Mus musculus: one gene and its partners. The main gene of each other region encodes a partner of the protein of the gene in region 3 in a complex. Links are inferred from orthologs where the notes say so. Each region holds a gene or a part of one and is shown on either strand. Other genes may lie near its edges.

The links.
Region 1: Tada3 (region 3) and Supt7l share a complex: the UniProt entries of both Homo sapiens proteins name them as parts of the STAGA transcription coactivator-HAT complex. The link is inferred for Mus musculus from reciprocal best matches to the Homo sapiens genes TADA3 and SUPT7L.
Region 2: Tada3 (region 3) and Taf4 share a complex: the UniProt entries of both Homo sapiens proteins name them as parts of the TFTC-HAT complex. The link is inferred for Mus musculus from reciprocal best matches to the Homo sapiens genes TADA3 and TAF4.

The regions. Positions count from the first base shown.
Region 1 is NC_000071.6:31,523,132-31,529,005, forward strand, and holds the start of Supt7l (STAGA complex 65 subunit gamma), read right to left. Parts: upstream 3,632-5,874; 5' UTR 3,484-3,631; intron 131-3,483; 5' UTR 1-130. Other genes in the region: Slc4a1ap (kanadaptin), read left to right, coding at 3,891-4,553, 4,912-5,107.
Region 2 is NC_000068.7:179,973,016-179,978,836, forward strand, and holds the start of Taf4 (transcription initiation factor TFIID subunit 4), read right to left. Parts: upstream 3,632-5,821; coding exon 2,398-3,631; intron 1-2,397. UniProt on the Homo sapiens protein: The TFIID basal transcription factor complex plays a major role in the initiation of RNA polymerase II (Pol II)-dependent transcription.
Region 3 is NC_000072.6:113,374,154-113,380,007, forward strand, and holds the start of Tada3 (transcriptional adapter 3), read right to left. Parts: upstream 3,686-5,854; 5' UTR 3,163-3,685; intron 2,793-3,162; 5' UTR 2,745-2,792; coding exon 2,739-2,744; intron 1,912-2,738; coding exon 1,687-1,911; intron 1,107-1,686; coding exon 856-1,106; intron 732-855; coding exon 626-731; intron 1-625. Other genes in the region: Arpc4 (actin-related protein 2/3 complex subunit 4), read left to right, coding at 4,053-4,055. UniProt on the Homo sapiens protein: Functions as a component of the PCAF complex. The PCAF complex is capable of efficiently acetylating histones in a nucleosomal context. The PCAF complex could be considered as the human version of the yeast SAGA complex.

The DNA.
Region 1 (5,874 bases), on a different chromosome or scaffold from region 3:
GTCTCTGGCAACTGTAGATCAGAAGCTTCTGCAGTGAAAAGTAGGAAGTCTAGGCAGTTCCCACATAAGAAGCAAGCTAAGATCACTTTAAAAAGGTGCTAGCAAAACTCTAGGACAGACAATACTCTCCCTGAAGAAACGAAGAGAAAAATAACTGTTAGATGCCAATCACACAGCGACAACTCCTCTTTGAATTACAAAAGGAAAATCAAAGTAACTAATAGGTGAAGAGTAGTAATTGGTGTGTGGGGCTCTTAACATATACACTGCCTATTTCACGTCACAAATTCATCACCAGAATACCCATCATGCCTCATTCTAAATATGTGACAAGGCATAAAACTAAAGTAGGAGGTCTGGACTACTTCCAGAGTATTTCTACACAATTGTGCTAGACTAATAGGAAAAAGAGAGCAGCATTAAAACTACTAACAGGCAGCCAGATATGGTGGTGCACTCCTTTCTTCCAGCACTCAGGAGGCAGTGGCAGGCAGATCTGAGTTCAAGGTTAGCCTGATCTACAGAGTAATTTCCAGGACAGCCAGGGCTACACAGAGAAACCATATCTCAAAAAATAAAACGAAACAAGACAAAAAATACTAGTAGGTGTTTTTTAACCTGTGCCGTGTATGGTAGAAACATTCATGAACCTTTAATCTAGCCTTATGCTTCCAAATTCTGACATACACATGAACAAATAGAGGGTCTCGGTGGGCGTGTGCATGGAGGCCAGGAATCAGCCTCAGGCAACATTCCACCTTGCTTTTTGAGATAGGATCTCTCGCTGGAGTGTAGGATTTGCTGATTATTCTAAGCCAGTGTATTGCCTGTACTTCTATTCTACCGACTTTGCTCTGGGAAAAGCCGAGCTCCTAGCTCCCCACCCAGCTTCCCTTGAATCTGTGGATAAAAGACACACACACACACACACACACACACGCACACACACGCGCACACACACGCACGCGTGCACACACATAGTTTATTCTTTTATAACTTGCCTTCTTGGCACAATCGCTGGGTGTTACTGTCTCTTGCCTAGAAAAGCATGACCTTATTAATATTTTTAGCTGTTTCTCCACCTGCCCCAAACTTCAGTGGCTAGTGCCACCTATGTCCTGCCAAAAATCCACAGCCACCCAGTTCCCAGCCACAGGCCTCAGCTCCCCCAAGACCTCACATGGTTGCTGCATTCTTCTTCCTCCAAAGCATGGCAGAAAGACCTCTCTCCTTCCTTGTGGCTACCTTTTCCTCCTGGAACCTGGAAGTCCCACATGTACCTTCCTCCCAGCAATTGGCCCCCAGCTTTCTTTACTGACAAATAAAGAACCAATTGGGGAATAAGACCTTAACATAAGAACCACGCCCTTCACCAGTGAGTCCCAGGGATCTGACTGTTTCTGCTTTCCTCCCCACAAGCTGAGTTTATAAGCACATGCACCCATACCTGGATTTTTACATATGGGTTTGGGGATTGAACTCAGGTCCTCATGCGTGCAATGGACTGAGCTGTCTCCCCAGAATGAATCTGAGAGACTTCTGTTGCCTTCTAACAAGTATTCCTTCCTCTAGTCCAGTGGTTCTCAACCTGTAGGTCATAACCCCTTTGGGGATCAAATGACTCTTTCATAGGTTAAGGAATATCAGGTATCCTGTATATAAGGTATTTACAATAGGATTCATAACTGCAACAAAATTACAGTTATGAAGTAGCAATGAAAATAATTTTGTGGTTGCATGGGGTCACCACAACATGAGGAACTACATTAAAGGGTCAGACCTTTAGGAAGGTTGAGAACTGCTATTCCAGTCTTTTTCAGAATCTGATCTACACTTGGCCCTGCTGCTAGACTTTCTTCCTTTCTCTGTCTGTCTCTCTTTGTGTGTCTCTGTCTCTCATTCTCTCAATGCTGAAGATTTAACACATCCTACAAAAGTATTTTTATTACTGAGCTACACTTCCAAGCTTTTTTGTTTGTTTCTTTTGCTTGGAAAAAGTCAGAATTCTGTGGCTTAGCATTCAATAAAAGCTTACTAAGCGTCTTTAATTCACGTCTCCAGGTTTACTGCCTATATGTCTCCTCAGGTCCAACAAACATCAAATGAATACATTGTGTGACGGTGTAAGATCTTTGTCCTGAGGGAATAACAGAAGCAAAATACTGCAGTATAGCAGCAGCTGGCACTGCTACTTTAAAGGCGTGAGTTCAGTGTCCTGCAGGCAAGTGAGGGGCTTCCTGGACAAAATGAATGCCCTCAGCTCTAACAATATACTACTCAGTTCCTTTCTTTCTCTTTCTTTCTTTTCTTTTTTTTTTTTTTTTACATTTACTTATTTTGGGTATGTGTGCATGAAAAAATCACAAGACAACTTGTGAGAGGCAGTTCTCTCCTTTCACCATGTGGGTTCCATGGATTGAACTCGGGCATTCGGACTTGGCAGCAAGTGCCTTTTACCTACTAAGCCATCTAACTGGCCCCTCAGCTTATTTCCTTTGCTAAGATTGTATTTTTAAATTATTAATTTCGAGACAGGGTTTCCCTTTGAGGCCTTGGCTATCCTGGAACTTGCTCTGTAGACCAGGCAGGCTATGCATTCACAGACATTCGTTTTTGTTGTCTGTTGGGGGTTGAGTATATGCTTGTGTGTTCCATGTGTATGCAGGTGCCAAGGATATCTGAAGAGGGCATCAGATCCTTCTGGAGCTCAAATTAGAGGTGGTTGTGAACTCCCCTGATGTGGGTACTGGAAATGGAGCTCAGATCCACCGAAGAGCAGCACACAGAACCATCTCTCCAGCTCCACCACTCAGCTTCTCAAGAACATGAGATATTTTTATAATTGACCCTTTGAGTTGTGACCTCTGCCAGGAACCCTCTACATCTTTATCAGACTTGAATTTGTTCTTTAGGATCCCTGAAATCACCATTCCCCCCAACAGATCTCCTTTCTTTGTATATTTACATGAATTTGCTTTTATCCCTGAACCTTAACTTTAGTTGACTTATTCATCTGTATTCTCCCACTTGTTATGGCTGCCATCTTGGTATAGTTTCAGGCCTCTGTCAAAGAGTTATAATATTAACTATGGCTTAGTTCAATTTTCCATAAATTTTATGACAAATTAACACTACTATTTCCAATTTTTCAGATGTGGAAGCTGTTGTCCAGGGTCATGCCAACATCATAAATACAAAGAGTAAAAAAGAAAAGAGGTTTCGATGCTCAGGTTTGTTAAGCCACTAAACATGCTATCTCAATATTTTGTTCCGAGTAATAAAAGAATGAACAATAATAAATTGCTTCTTTACTAACTTCATAAAAGGAATAAATTCGAGAGCTGCAGATAGGGACTCCTTGCTCCGGATCTGGAGGCTTAGGCTTAGGCGCCGACCACAGGATCCTGGGAAGTCTGATTTACAAGGCAGCAGGAAAATGGGTGGCTCTGGACCGGAACCAGAAAATAAAGTTCAAATACTCACCGCCCTGCCCCAGGAGTGGTATACGCGGCTGCCTGACTCTGACAGGTCGGAGTCGAGGACTAGGTCAAGCCTAGGAGCCTTGTTTATTGATTAATGGACCAAGGCCACGGAAGCACTTCTTCCCAATCGCCCTCTGCCACAGGAAGTTATTACTAGCCTACATGCAACGCCTAAAATGTCCGTATCCTGCACAGCACTCTGAGAGCCTCTCCCCGCTTTCTGGTATTGTGACTCCCTAGTGCTATTCACATCTTTAAAACTCTGCGAGTCTTGAAAGAGGAACTCCAACATTTCTGTCCAGAGAAGCCTCAGGGAGGTGGGAAGGAGGAGGAGAAGTGAGCGGGAACGTAGAGAGCGAGGGGTCGGGGTTTCCGAGGGACACATTTTGAGATTGCACCCGGCTAAGGATGGCTGATCCTACCCCTCAGCTAGATGCGCCAGCTCCCCAGGAAGTCAGTAGCGAGTTTAAGAAGCCGGTTTTACCAGTGCCTTCCGCAGTACGGGGTAAGGCTCCGGCCTCCAGTCCCTCCGTTTCTGAGGATGTGAAGAAAGAATGTCTCGCGGCGCAGCTGGACTCTGGATGTGAGGAGCCCGAGGTCCCGCCACCGCAGCCGGACAGCCAGGAGACCGGGGGTCCACCGGTGGAGCAACTCCGCTCCCCGCGGGTAGCTCCTGCGTCTGGCGGTCCGACCCGGGCTCCTCCGTACCGAGAGCCATCGTGGGGCAGCCCAGCCACGGCCCCCTACAGTCTCGAAACCCTGAAGGGTGGCACCATCCTTGGCACCCGCACCTTGAAAGACACGAGCTGCTGCTTTTTCGGGAGACTTGCTAGTTGTGACATATGTCTGGAGCATCCTTCCGTGTCTCGGTACCATGCTGTACTACAGCACCGGGGGGCGGATCCCAGCGGAGACTCTGAGGGTCATGAGCAGGGCTTTTATCTCTACGATCTGGGAAGTACCCACGGCACGTTCCTCAACAAAACTCGCATCCCACCCCGCACTTACTGTAGAGTCCACGTCGGGCATGTAATGCGCTTTGGAGGCAGCACTCGGCTCTTTATCCTTCAGGTAGGTAGAAAAATCTAAAATAAAAATCTTGGGACTTCACTGTTTTTGGTTTTTCAAGACAGGGCTTCTCTATGTAGCCCTGGCTGTCCTGGAACTCTCTCTGTAGACCAGGCTGGCCTCGAACTCAGAAATCCGCCTGCCTCTGCCTCCCGAGTGCTGGGATTAAAGGCGTGCACCGCCACGCCCGGCGATTCTGAGTTTCTTTAAGGTTTAGTTGAGTAAAAGGATTCTGGTAACCAATGACAAAAGCACAGGCCTCATTCTGGACCCACAGGTCTGTGTACGTTGCTGTGTCTCAGAAAGTAATTTTCTCACTTCTGAATCCATATATGTATATATTTTACCCATGATTCATTAGGGACCAGAGGAAGACCGAGAGGCAGAATCTGAATTAACAGTAACACAGTTGAAGGAATTGCGTAAACAGCAGCAGATATTATTGGAGAAGAAGATGTTAGGTGAAGACTCAGATGAAGAAGAAGAAGCAAATACCACTGAAGGGAAGAGCAGTAGAAGTGGTCAAGATGATGAGCTGGGCTGCACGTGGGGAATGGGTAAGAAACTACTACTGAAGGTGGCACCCTCAAGTGCTTTTGATCATACAGCTCAGAAGGCCTACAGCTGAAGTAGGGTAAATGTAATTTGCAAGCCCAGGGTCATTAACTTTAGTGAGTAAAAGTGTTGAATTATGGGCATTATACATACACCTCTTTCTCACCGTGTAATTTGCTTATTGCGTTTATCATTTAAACACACACACACACACACACAGAAAGAGAGAGAGAGAGAGAGAGAGAGAGAGCTTTCTGAGTGCTAATTATCACCTGGAGGGCATGGAAAAATTTACTTCATTTCTTTGGCTGAGAAATCAGTATTTGATATTTTTTCACCTCTCAGGCTATTTTCACAAAGTACAAAACATTCAAGAGGTTATTGTATAGCTCCACATTTTGGATGATAGATATTCAGGCTTATAAAAAGATAGTTGGTGAGGGCCGAGAGATGGCTCAGTAGTAAGAGCACTATCTGCTCTTTCAGAGAAAGCTCAGCCCTCAGCAACCACGTGGTGGCTCATAATGATCTATAATGTCATCTGATGCCCTCTTCTGGCATGTAATTGTACATACAGATAGAGTACCCCTTTACATAAAATAAAACTTTTAAAGAAAAAGATAGTTGGGGCTAATAAGGCATTGTGATGCAGGCCTTTAATCTTAGCACTTGGGAGGCAGAGGCAGGTAGATCTCTGTTAGTTTCAGGCCAGCATGATCTATTTATTGAATTTCAGGATAGCCAGAGTTACATTGTAGAGAAATCCTGA
Region 2 (5,821 bases), on a different chromosome or scaffold from region 3:
CAATCTGAGAACTATCTAAAGCTCTCATTGTGGATCAAACTTAGACTTTGGCACCAGCAAACCACCAGCAAGTCACAACCACAGTAACATCCCAGTCCCTTTAGAAACTTGTCCTGACAGGGAAGATCGGGGCTCCGGTTGCTTAAAAAAATAAAAGAAATTAAAAAACAAGTTCAAGGTACTTATTAGAAGTTCCTGGTGAATGCTGAAGATTAAACTTGATCTCACAGACCTCAGGGTGAAGCCTGTGTCCCTCCCCTCCCCCAGCATGACCTCTCTCATGAGGGCACTGGGAGGGACTCAGCCCTTTTCACACTCCTCTCAACTGCCAATGGTATGCTATTCCACTTGACACCTATGTGTAGCCTTGAAACCTGCCTCCCCCTCTCTCTCCACTTTACCGTGCAAAGGCTGCTATTGGCTAAACAACGTTTTATTAGAACCTATTTTCATCTTTCCTGAGTATATTTTATTATAAAAGCTATCAATGAAGGAGGAACATCAGTTAGAAAAAGTTCTGCCTACGCAGTTACAGGACAAAACTAGGATGCTTGCATCCTCTGACTACGCCTCCCCGTCTTGTTTAAAAAGATGTCGGTTTTCTAGCACTGGTGGTAATGGTTTTAAGCACCAAACATTAGCTTAGCTTTGGGTGTTTTTAAAGTAAGGTAATCAATCAGCACTCCTTATCAAAACAGCAACAGAAGCCAGGGGTACAGAGGATGGGTGTGAGTTTTCTCTTTTTTAGAAAGCATGTGGGACTTTGAAGCAGAGCTCTGGGTGTCTGCTACACACCAGACTCTGCCCTACTCTCCAGCACAAGCATGGGGGCTGATGCAGACGCAGACGCAGAGACGTGCAAATAATGAACATGTTTACATTTCCCCCAAGGAGTTATCTTCTGCTCTACACGCCAACTCTGAACCTGACCTGGAAAAGGAGGCAGCAGTGGTGCAGACAGCAGCCAATGCCCTTTTCAAATGACATCGTCCTTCTCCCAGGGAGACGGACTTCACTTGTGCAGCACTCAAAAGCAAAGGAGCCAGGGTAAGCCAGGATTGCTATGGAAGGATGCCATGGGCACCTGACTAAGCCAGCTTTCCTGATAAAAGGACAATGTGGGCACATACTTGCATTGGGGAAGTCCGTGTTAAAGTACTGTGGCATTTCGAACAGCAGACTACAAGCACAAAATGCATCTTAAACTATAAATATCAGCCATACTTTCCACCCAGAGGTCAGAATGAAGATAATGAACAAGGCATTTCAATTTCACACACAAAACACACACACACACAGCCACCCCACACACACACACACACCCTGCTCACTTCTCAGCAAACCCCAGATGTGTGGCAAGAGACATCTGCAGTTCCTAGGCCTTATGTCACACCCAGCGCCTCCTCAGAGCATGGCAGCCCCTGCAACCTCTCAAACACTTCTGGGTCCTATATCCCCATAGATAGGGCAGGTATCTCTGGACCTTTGATGAGCCTTCCCAATCCTCATTGACTTCCACAGCAAAACCCAATTCTAAAGATGCTGTAGGTCTTTCAACGTGACCCAAACCACTTTTAAGAAAACAGGAGAGGACACAGTAGCAGCATGTTTTCTAATTCTCTACTACTGCCACCGCGGCGGGCGGGCGGGCGGGCGGCGCTGCTACTACTGCTTGCACATGTCACCGTGTAATACCGGAGGAGCGCACAGGGCTTGCTCCGGCCCAGGGTTCTGTGGGAACACTCCTGCAGAGGACTCTCAAACAAAAGCAGGCTACAAGCGAGGAAAGGAGCCACTCGACAAACCCAAGGGACCCTTAGGAATTCGAGGACAACAGAGTCAGAACATGTGTGGAATCTGCAAGAGCCGAGACAGCTCCTGTGTCCCAGAATCCACATCACCATGATCTCCTGCATCCGCAGACCCCTACGCACTAAGTGTCCTACTGACCTCCAGGGATGGCAACAACAAAAAACACCCAGGGTCCACTTTCAGGCACTGATGACCACTAAACGCCTGCTCCCAGCATGGAGTCCCCAACCGGCTTCCCTGGCAACAGGAAAGCCCATGCCGCCTTCCACAGACTTCATTAGCATGCCCGTGAGTAGTCGGTTCGCCCTCTCTTGACCTCACCTGAGGAAGGAGAGAGAAGGGCCCCTCGGCTATACGGTGGTAGCCCAGAGCATCCGAATGGGACAGCAGAGTTCCCCGAGGGATCTGGGAGCTCCAGGACTGGGACGCCCTCAAAACTGGCAGGTCACCTGGGCAGGGGCCGCCCCTCGGCCTCTCGGGCCACCCGACTAGGGCACGGTCCCAGAATGCAGCCCAGAACTTCCTGGAACGCCAGGGCAGCCTGGTGCACCCGCCCTCGGCCTCCCGCCGCGCGCTGCCACTCACCTGGGGGCAGCTGGAAGTTCTGGATGTTGGTCGGGTTCTGCGGCGGCTGCGGCAGGCGCGGGGCCAGCACGGTGGGCGTCAGCGTGGCCCGGATAGCGCCGGTGGTGGCCGCCGGCGTCCGAGGCAGGCTGGGGGTCGCCGCGGCCGCACCCTTCGCCAGCCCCGCGGGGGTCCCGGGCGCAGGCCCCGGCAGCGCGCCCGGCATGGCGGGCCCGAGCAGCACACTGCCCGCCGCGCCCCCGCCCGCGACCCCCGCCGCCGCCGCCGCCGCCGCCGGCCCCGGCCCGGGCCCCGGTCCGGGCTTGGGCGCCTCGGCCTTGGCCCCCTGCGCGCCCGCGCCCGGCTGGCCCAACCCCGCGGCGCCCCCGGAGGCCGCGGCGGGGGCAGGAGCGGCCCCGTTCTGCGCGGCGGCGGCAGCGGCGGCGGCGGCGGCAGCGGCAGCGGGTGACACGGGGGGCGCGGGCGCGGCGGGGTGCCCGGGCGGCCGGGCTGGCGCGACAGGCGCTGGGGGCGCGGGCGGCGGGGGCGCGGCGGGCGCGGGCGCGGCGGGCGGCGAGGGCGCGGCGGGCGCGGGGGCCGCCTGGATGACAGAGCCGGCGGCGGGCGGCGGCGCGGGCCCGTTGTTGACCGGGCTGACAGCAGGTGCGGCGTGCGGCGCGGTGGGCGGCGCGGCGCTCCCATTCAAAGTTTGCGCGGCGCCGGGGCCGGGCGGGCCAGGCGGGCCGGGCTTGGAGGCGCCGGGGCCGGCGGGTGGGGCGGCGGCGGCGGGATCCGGCCCCGCGACGGCGGCGGCGGTGGCGGCGGCAGCGGCAGCGGCGGCGGGGCAGGGCCCCGCGCTGGCCTCGGGCAGCGGCCTCAGCTTGGCGGGCGCCGGCGCGGGCCCTGCGGGGACAAGCAAGCGGCGCGGTGAGCTGGAGCCCGGGCGCCGCGGGCCCCCACCCGCCGGCCGCGCTCTACCTGCGGGGGGCGGCTCCGGCGCCGCTGCGGGCGCGCCCTCGGCGGAGGCGGCCGGCCCTGCGCCCGCGGCTCCGGCCGGGCTGCCGCTCACAACATGGTTCCCGAGCGCGCCGGCGGCCGCGGCCCGCAGCTCGGGCGTGCGCGGCGCGAGGTGGTGGTGGTGGGCCGCGCTGGCCGCCAGCTGCGACTCGAGCGAGCCCACCAGATCGCTCACCACTTTCTCGTCCACCTCGCTGTTGAAGAAGACCTCGTCCAGCAGATCCGAGCCCGCCGCCATCTTTCCTCCTCGCCGCCGCCGCCGCCGCCGCTCGGCCGAGCGCGCCTGGGCAGGAGGAGGTTCCAGCGGGGCGGGGGGCGGTGCGCGGGGCGGGCGGGGGCGCGGCGCGCAGGGAGGGGGGAGGGGCGGCCCACTGCGCAGGCGCGCCGACACGCACCGCCCACGCCCGCGCCCCTGTGGCCTCCGATTGGCTGCGGCGGGCTCTTAAAAGACGCGGCCAATGGCTGCGAGCGCCAGAGGCCGGGGAGCAGGCTAGGCGCTGGGTGCTGGTCGGCTGTTGGAGCGCTGGTGGGAATGGCAGCGGGGCCGGGAGAGCGGCGGCTCTAGGCGCCGGGTGGGTCGCGGCAGCCGGCTGCGGGGTTCGCCCTTTGTCTGCACCCTTCCAAAATGGCTGCGGCCAGGGCGGGCGGTGACAGCTGCGCGGGCGCTCCCGGGGCCCCGGCGGTCAGAGAGGAGCAGGAGTCCTGGCACGAAGGCGCTTTCGGGGCGGAGAGGTGCGCAGAGGACGCCGCGGACACGACGGGTCAGCTCCCCTGACTTACAGCGGTTAGTACGAGGGCCGTGCACACCCCGGACGAAGCTGGACATCCGGAAGCTGATTTGTTCTTTATTTACTTTTCTCGTGGGGGAGGGGGGGGTTGGTTGTAAATCCTCTAAACTGATGCTTGCTGGCACTTTGTAGGAACATTTTCGTTACCATTTCTCCCCTTTCTTTCTGGGTGTTTTCTTAACCAAAAGGCCGTCTTATTGGACATCGCTATGGATTTCGTCTTTCCTTTTTTTTTTTTTTTTTTTTGAAAAGGCCGAAAACAAATTCCAGATGGCAAAGCTTGTTGGGGACCTCAACGCAACTGACCTTCCTAGAATCATCGTCACCTCTGAAGAGACTTGCCACGGTCTGCACAGATCCAGCACTGGGGAATGAGGAATTTGACACTGTAATTTTTTTTTTTTCCTTTCGTGCCTTGAAAGAGACTCTTCCCACCAGCTTTTACTACCCACACACACCCTCCATGCACTCGGAAGATGAAGGCAGGAGGAAAAGGAGTTCAACCTTTGTTATGCATTTAGTTGGAGGCCAGCCTGGGGGTCTTGTGGGGCCCTGTATCAAAAAGGTGAGGTGAGAACTATTCTCTCAAAAGCAGAGTATAAACTCTCAGCCTGTGTGCTGATCCTGTCCCAGCCTTTTAAACTAAATGAGTTATATAACTACTATACAAACCCCACCCTACCCCAGCTGTCCTCTAAGCAATAGTCTACCTAAGGAACTGTGCGCCTTGAAGCCAAAAAACAAAACAAACAAACAAACCCCACAGTGCCCTCACTTGCAAAGTGTGCTTGGGAATCCTTAAATAACAGAAATTTTGTTCTTGAACATCAGCCTCCAGATTTGGAAAGCCAGTAAAAAGAAAGAGACAATGAGGAAGCAGGTTGGGTGCTAGAAGCCAGTATAGGCTTGACACACACTAGAAGGAACAGAAATTCACAGTTGTAAATAAAACCCACGAGTCTTCTTTTGACACAGGAGAACACGTTCAGGGCCAAGAGCATCATCCTGAGTGAGTGGGACACTACTTAGTCACAGCCCCCAGCCACAAGTCACAGAATTCTTTACTCTTGATAATGGTTTGAAGATTTTAAAGTGGACCAAAGGATCAGAAGGTTCTTGCTAATCCTCTTGATGCCGGTTAATGGGACCCACCAGTTAGGTGTACAGTAGCCTGTACCCCGAAGCCATTAGGTGACAGGGAGCACAACAATGAGAGCCATAGCAAAGCCCAGGCTCTGGAGCTCACAGGCCTCTTGGTACCACGGTACACAGCCTCCTTCCATTCTTAAGCATCTGCTAATGACACAGCCCCTGAGCCACCAAGACTTAAGTTACAGGTGCAGGGTTTAGGGTCTGTGCCCACCAGTCCCTTCATTCCTTGCTGCAGAGCCCAGTGTGGGAGCCACACATCTTTCAGGTAGCTGTTTTCAAGTGCAGAGCTCTTAAGACTGAAGTGGGTGGAGCTAAAAAGTCTCCTCCCCTCCTCAAAATCTATATGCAAGGGGCAGTAGACACTATTAAAGCCTTAACCTTTGTCACTCTGGAGACTGAAGAACAAATTTTCTTTAAATTGTCTCTCCCTTTGATACATTGCCATAGGCCATTATGACTTTCATAGTTTGAACTAGCATTAAAAGAGA
Region 3 (5,854 bases):
TCTCAAAAACCAAAACCAAAACAAACAAACCAACAAAAACCAAAAAACAACAACAAACAAAATCCCCCAAAACCAAAAAAACCAACTTTTAACCCAGGTATGTTTGTGGTCCCAGACACCTGGGGGGGACCTGAAGGGCTGAGAGAGGACAATGGTTGAGTCCAGGGGTTCAAGGTCAGCCTGGGTACCATAGCAAATTCCAGTGTCTTAGAAAAGAAAACCAGAATTTAACTTTTTTTTTTTTTTCTCGAGACAGGGTTTCTCTGTGTAGCCCTGGCTGTCCTGGAACTCACTCTGTAGACCAGGCTGGCCTTGAACTCAAGAAATTTGCCTGCCTCTGCCTCCTGAGTGCTGGGATTAAAGGCGTGCGCCACCACGCCCAGCGGAACTTAACTTTTATAGTTAAAGAAAGTAAGTATCGCCCAAGTGTAAAAGCAAGGAGAGTGTTCAGAGGCTCTTTGGAGAAAGGCTAGAGGACAGAGAAAGCTGAGCCTCACTGTCTGCAGGGGTCATGGAGCAGGCAGGAGGCTGGGAAGAAAGTAGGTGATGGATGCAGGCTTTGCTGCCTAGGACCCTCAGGCGCCTTTGAGCCCTGTCGTACTGACTGTGCGGCTCAGGTTTCTACCTTATAATGTTCAGCTTCATCTTCTGGGGGCTTCAGGAGCTCCTCTAGTGTCCGTACCTCCTCACTGGTGATGTCGGCACAATAGGGCTCCACAGAGGCCCAGAACCTACAGGCAGAAGCAGACCCGGAGTGGGTGAGATGCTCCTTCAGCCTTAGCCCCGGGCCTTCCAAGCCTCCACCACAAGTCTCTGGGCCCCTCCAGCTCCCTGCTACGTGCTCAGGCCCAGAACCTGTTGGGAGCATCATTCTTGGGGATCCGAGGCACGTCGATTGGGTCATCAGTAAATTCATATTCCTGGATCTTGGGTTGGACGTTTTTGGATTTGGGTCGTCCCGGGCCAGGGCCTGGCCCATGTCCTGTCTTCCCTTCCAGTTTCTGCTTCTTGGGCTTTCCGTGTTTGGGGGGAGCACCGAGCTCGTGGTCGCGACCTAGCTTCAGGAATCGTCGGTCCCCTTTCTTATCCTGCCAGTCAGTAAGGATCTGAAACACACAAAGACAACCCCTGAGACGGAGAGAAGAGACAGGGCACTTCTTTCCCCGCCATGGATAACTGAGATCTAGAATTTGAGGTTATTAAGCAAACTACTCATATTTCAAAATGCCTGTTCTTCTCTGTGATTTTCTCACATGAATTTAACCGGAGGTCTACATTCTGATTCACTTCTGCTGCCGCCCAAGCTAGTCACAAACGGTTTGGCATGGTAGTCCTGGGGAAATCTGCTGCTGCTGGGTTTTTTGGTGGTGGTGAACAAGACTCCCAGCTAACCTTTATGTCACACTCCAAGGCACCCGGTGGTTCTGTCTATGCAACTGACTGTATCACAGTGCATCTCAGAAAGTTCCCAGGCAACTTCAGGGGCCACACGTGGGCGGTGTCCACCTACAGTCGGATAGCATCCTTGGCTAACGGTAAGCTGAACTGAGAGCTAACTATTCTGTCATGATTCCCATGTGGGTCTCTCTTCCCATCCATCCCTGGGCCTCAGCAGAGAGGGAACCTAAGGATCCATCCCATAACTTGACACAATGTCTCTAGTGGATGCCCCCCATGGACAATCACCTGGGTTTCAGCTTCCAGTACACGCAGTCTCCGGCTTGCAGAGGACAGCAGAGTCTCAAGCTCCAGCTGCAGGGTGTCCAGCTCCTCAATGCCAATGCCATCGTCCTCGGAGCGGGCCAGCACTGCCGTGTAGCGGGGACAGACCTTCAGGTGGTCCACAGACTTGAAGTCATGAAACTGCAGTGGACAGTCCTTCAGCTCGCTCATGGCCCAGGAGGTGGGACCCTGTAAAATTAGAGGGGAGAAGGCCATTGGATAGGAGACAAAGTAGCATGGGGAGAGAGACCCAACAGAGCCCTGACTGTACCCCAAGCTAGGTTGACTTCACTGAATTATGCACATAACCTTAAAAGGGGGGCCTTTTGCCATGCTTTTCATTCATTCATTCATTCATTCATTCATTCAACATAATTTCTCTGTATAACAACTCTGGCTGGCCTGGAATGAACTCTATAGACCAGGCTGGCCTTCAATTCAGAGATCACCTGCCTCTACTGGGATTAAAGGCGTGTGCCACCACTGCCTGGTTTCTTTCTTTTGACAAAGAAAGGAAAAAGACTCCAGAAGAGTATGTACACATGCCTAGACTCCTAACTGCAATTTATTGTCTTTTTTTGTTTTGGTAGCACTGAAGGGTCTCACACATCTCCAGACCCTACCTCACCCCCATTTTGGGGTGGGGGAGACAAAAATCTCATTATGTAGTCTTGAGTGGCCTGATACTCATTTGCTACATAGATCAGGATTCATAGAGCTCCCCCTCCCGACCCCCACCCCAGAAAGCACCTGCCTCTGAGTGCTGGGATAAAGATATGCACTCAGGTTGGTCTCAAACTAGCTATGTAGCCAAGGTTTTGTCTCCACCTCCCAAGAGATGGAATTTTAGGCATGTACCACACCTGATTTATACAAGCGCTTGTTCATTCTAGGCACAAATTCTCCAAACTTAATTATGTTACAGTTACATCCAGCCCCCCCCCCCTTTCATGAATTCCAGGCCTTGAACTTATGATCCACCTGCTTTAGCCTCCCAAGTCACTAGGTGTACAAACCTGCATGATTAGGCCGGCCTCCTAGTTGCAATTTGAACCGCAGAAGTCTGGAATCTGCAGCATTAAGGAAGAGGAGATACTAGTGTGCCCTGTCTTCCTATGTCCTCTGTTTCCCTACGTTGGGTCGTTTCTAGCATTCTATTTGACAGGGTTCTCCCTGCCTCCTCTTGTCTCACTCCATTCCACCTCTGCACCTTCTCTGTGTCCCTGGCTAGTTTGGAACACAGGCTGGTCAGGTGAACAGAACTAAGTTCCAGCCCATTTTCTTATGTGCGTTTCTAAACATGTTATTTAACCTGAATCTCCGGTTTTTGTTTGTTTGTTTGTTTGTTTTTCTTTTTTCCAGGACAAAAGATGATGCCTCAGTCTATTTCCCCATTAAGAAGTATAAATCTGTAAAATGGGGGCATCGAGAATTACCTACCTCCCTGGAATGTTCTGAGGATTAAGAGGTGATGCTCGTCAAGTGCCCAGTTCAGTGCCTGGCACAGAAGTGGGACTGCTTAATGGCTGGCTCCACCTGTGTGTCGCCCCAAGATCCCGCCTCCAGGGTCCTCGTCCTCTAGGGAGCCCCTAACACAACCCCCGCCTCTCCTACCTCCTCTCTGCGGCCTCCTACAGGCCCTGGGCCGCAGGAGGGGGCGGGGAGTTCAGGGCGATCGGAGCAACTGCTCCGGAACTGGCTATGGGCGGGCCCCCTGCAGTTGACGCGAGGGCGGGGACGGCCAGCCCAAGGTGGCCTGTAGGGCCGGGGTGGGGGTGGGGGTCTAAGGCCACCTACGAATCTCCGGGAGGTGGAATGCTAGGCCTGAGGAGTCCCGGGCTAGGAAGCAGCCCGGGGCTGGGGTGGGGCCCAGAGCCCAAATCTCAAGGGACTGGCTACCCGGCCGAACCCTACGGTTGCAAATGGGAGGAGCCCGGAGAGGATAGGGGAGCACCACCGGAAGAAACGTTTCTCCGGTTCGGCCTGTCCTAATTTGGTGCCCAACCTGAGGTCGGGCTGTACTATTGTCACACGGGGGGAGGCTACAACCAAAGCGACAAGCACTAAAGGCGCTGGCGGAATATGTGTAGCGATCCAAGGGGACTCGACCGCTACTGTCTCATAGCAGGTCTTCTACAAGTCCCAGAGGTCCCAGTGTGAAATCGCCCCGGAGATCTGAATATCTCTCGGCTCTCCCTCCCCGGTCCTACCCGAGATGGTCCAGCCCGGAAGTGCTGTCGGAGACTGCGGCTGCGCCTCTCTCGAAAGGGCAGGCGTCGCGGGTCCGGGCACTTCCGCACTTCCGCTTTCCGGCCCAGACAGCGCCCGCGATGGTGAGAGACCAGGGGTTGGGGTCCTCCCTGTGTTTTGCCTGTAGAGGCTGTGGGTCTGGGGGAGATGCTGCTTGCCGCTAGGGCTTGCGGCCCGAGGTTGCCCCGGGATGAGGAGGCACGGGGAGGATGGAGAGGCAAAGGGTGGGGCGAGGGCCGAGGCGAGGAGGAAGGGGCGAGCCAGGAGGCTCTCTGAGCAAGAGCAGGCCCGGAAGCTTCCAGGTTGGGAATCCCGGGCTAGAATGACCTCTCCCCGATGTTCGGAGGGGGCAGGAGACCGGGCTGCGAAGCCCGTGGTGGTGGCTTGCAGCTGAGGTAGGACCGCTCTGCGGGGCCTCCTCTCCGTCCACGGTAGAGGTTGGCTAAGTACAACCCCCTGTCCCTGCCTGCCTTCGCGGTCTCACGGGACCTCGAGGCAAGTGTCCACTTCATCTTCTTACTTCTTGGCGCTTCCTGGAAGCCTTGCCTTCCAGCTCCCAATGAAGGTTCTGTGTTGCTTGCCTGCATTCAGACTCCTTCCTAGATGTGCAGAACCGTGTTGACCTTAACGTGTGTAAATGTTGATGGCCGCTGGTCCTCCTCTTTCATGCTCGGGTTTGGGATCTGTGGGTGCTCCGTGCAGTTGTTCTCCGAAAGGTCCCAGGCTTCCCACTACTTTCTCTGGTCAGCCCTTGACGACCTGAGTTCTAAAGGCTGGACTGCTTGTTGCACGCCCGGGAATGCTCTCAGGGAAGAGACTTTGAAATTAGACCCTCTTTTTCAAAAGTCACTTTTTAAAGCTTGCTCCAGTGTTAGTCCTAACTGGTTTCATTCCTTAGCGTGAAAGCCATTTCCTGCTGACTGAGTTTTGACTTTGCGTTTTTAAGCATTCAAGTTTATTGTACAATTTCTTCAAGCCACTAAAGGGTAACTATCACAGGGCTGGTCATCTAAAATTTAGTTTTCTTTCAATGAACCTTGACAAAATAATCAGGTAGCCACAATCGAGGTAGAGAAAAGAATATTCTATCACTTTCCCAACGGTACTTGTCACCGCACACAACTAATTTTGCCTTTCCGGTTTTGCCTCTTCTTGGTTGACATAAGAGAATGCTGTGGTATGGAGCTAGAACCCACTGCTGAACTACATGACAGCTGTTTTTTAGCCTTTATCCCCTCTGTCTGATGTTTGTCTGTCCGTGATCCTGTGCTTGTCTCCGCTGCCCCACGCAGCCTGTGCCTCTTCTCTGCCACAAGTCTCACTTCCTTCTCCATCCCGTCCTCCAGAGAGCCTCTGTGCAGCGGTAGCCCTGTAACTTCCTTCTCAGAAAGTCCCAATGCTTCCTGCTACATTGAGAGAAAAACTCAGTGGAAAGCATTCTAGACTGTCTAGGGTTTTATCCCAGCCTGCCATTGCAGCCTGATCTGTGCAATTTAAAGCAGTTTTCACATACAGAAACCTTGCACTCGTTACCAGTTTGGAAAGTCTTAATGCTCTTGTGTAAATCTAGCCCTGCTTAAGTTAGTTCATTTGTTCATTTACTCTCCAGAAAATTGGTTTGACCTGATGTATAGGAGGTGCTGGGCTAGATACAACCTGACAACTGAATAGAAGTTGATGTCTGTAGACCACGAGAATTACAAACTGGTGAAGGAAAAATTTATTCCTAACGTTCTGTTGTGAATTTTATGTAAAGTGAACATACCATAAACTGTAAGAAATGCATTGAGGGGGAAGTCAAAAAGGCCACTTTGAGGAAGGAAGGGGCCTTCTCCACTGAGCTGAGCTCTGAGAGGCTGAGCTAAGCTGCGGGGAGGAAGGG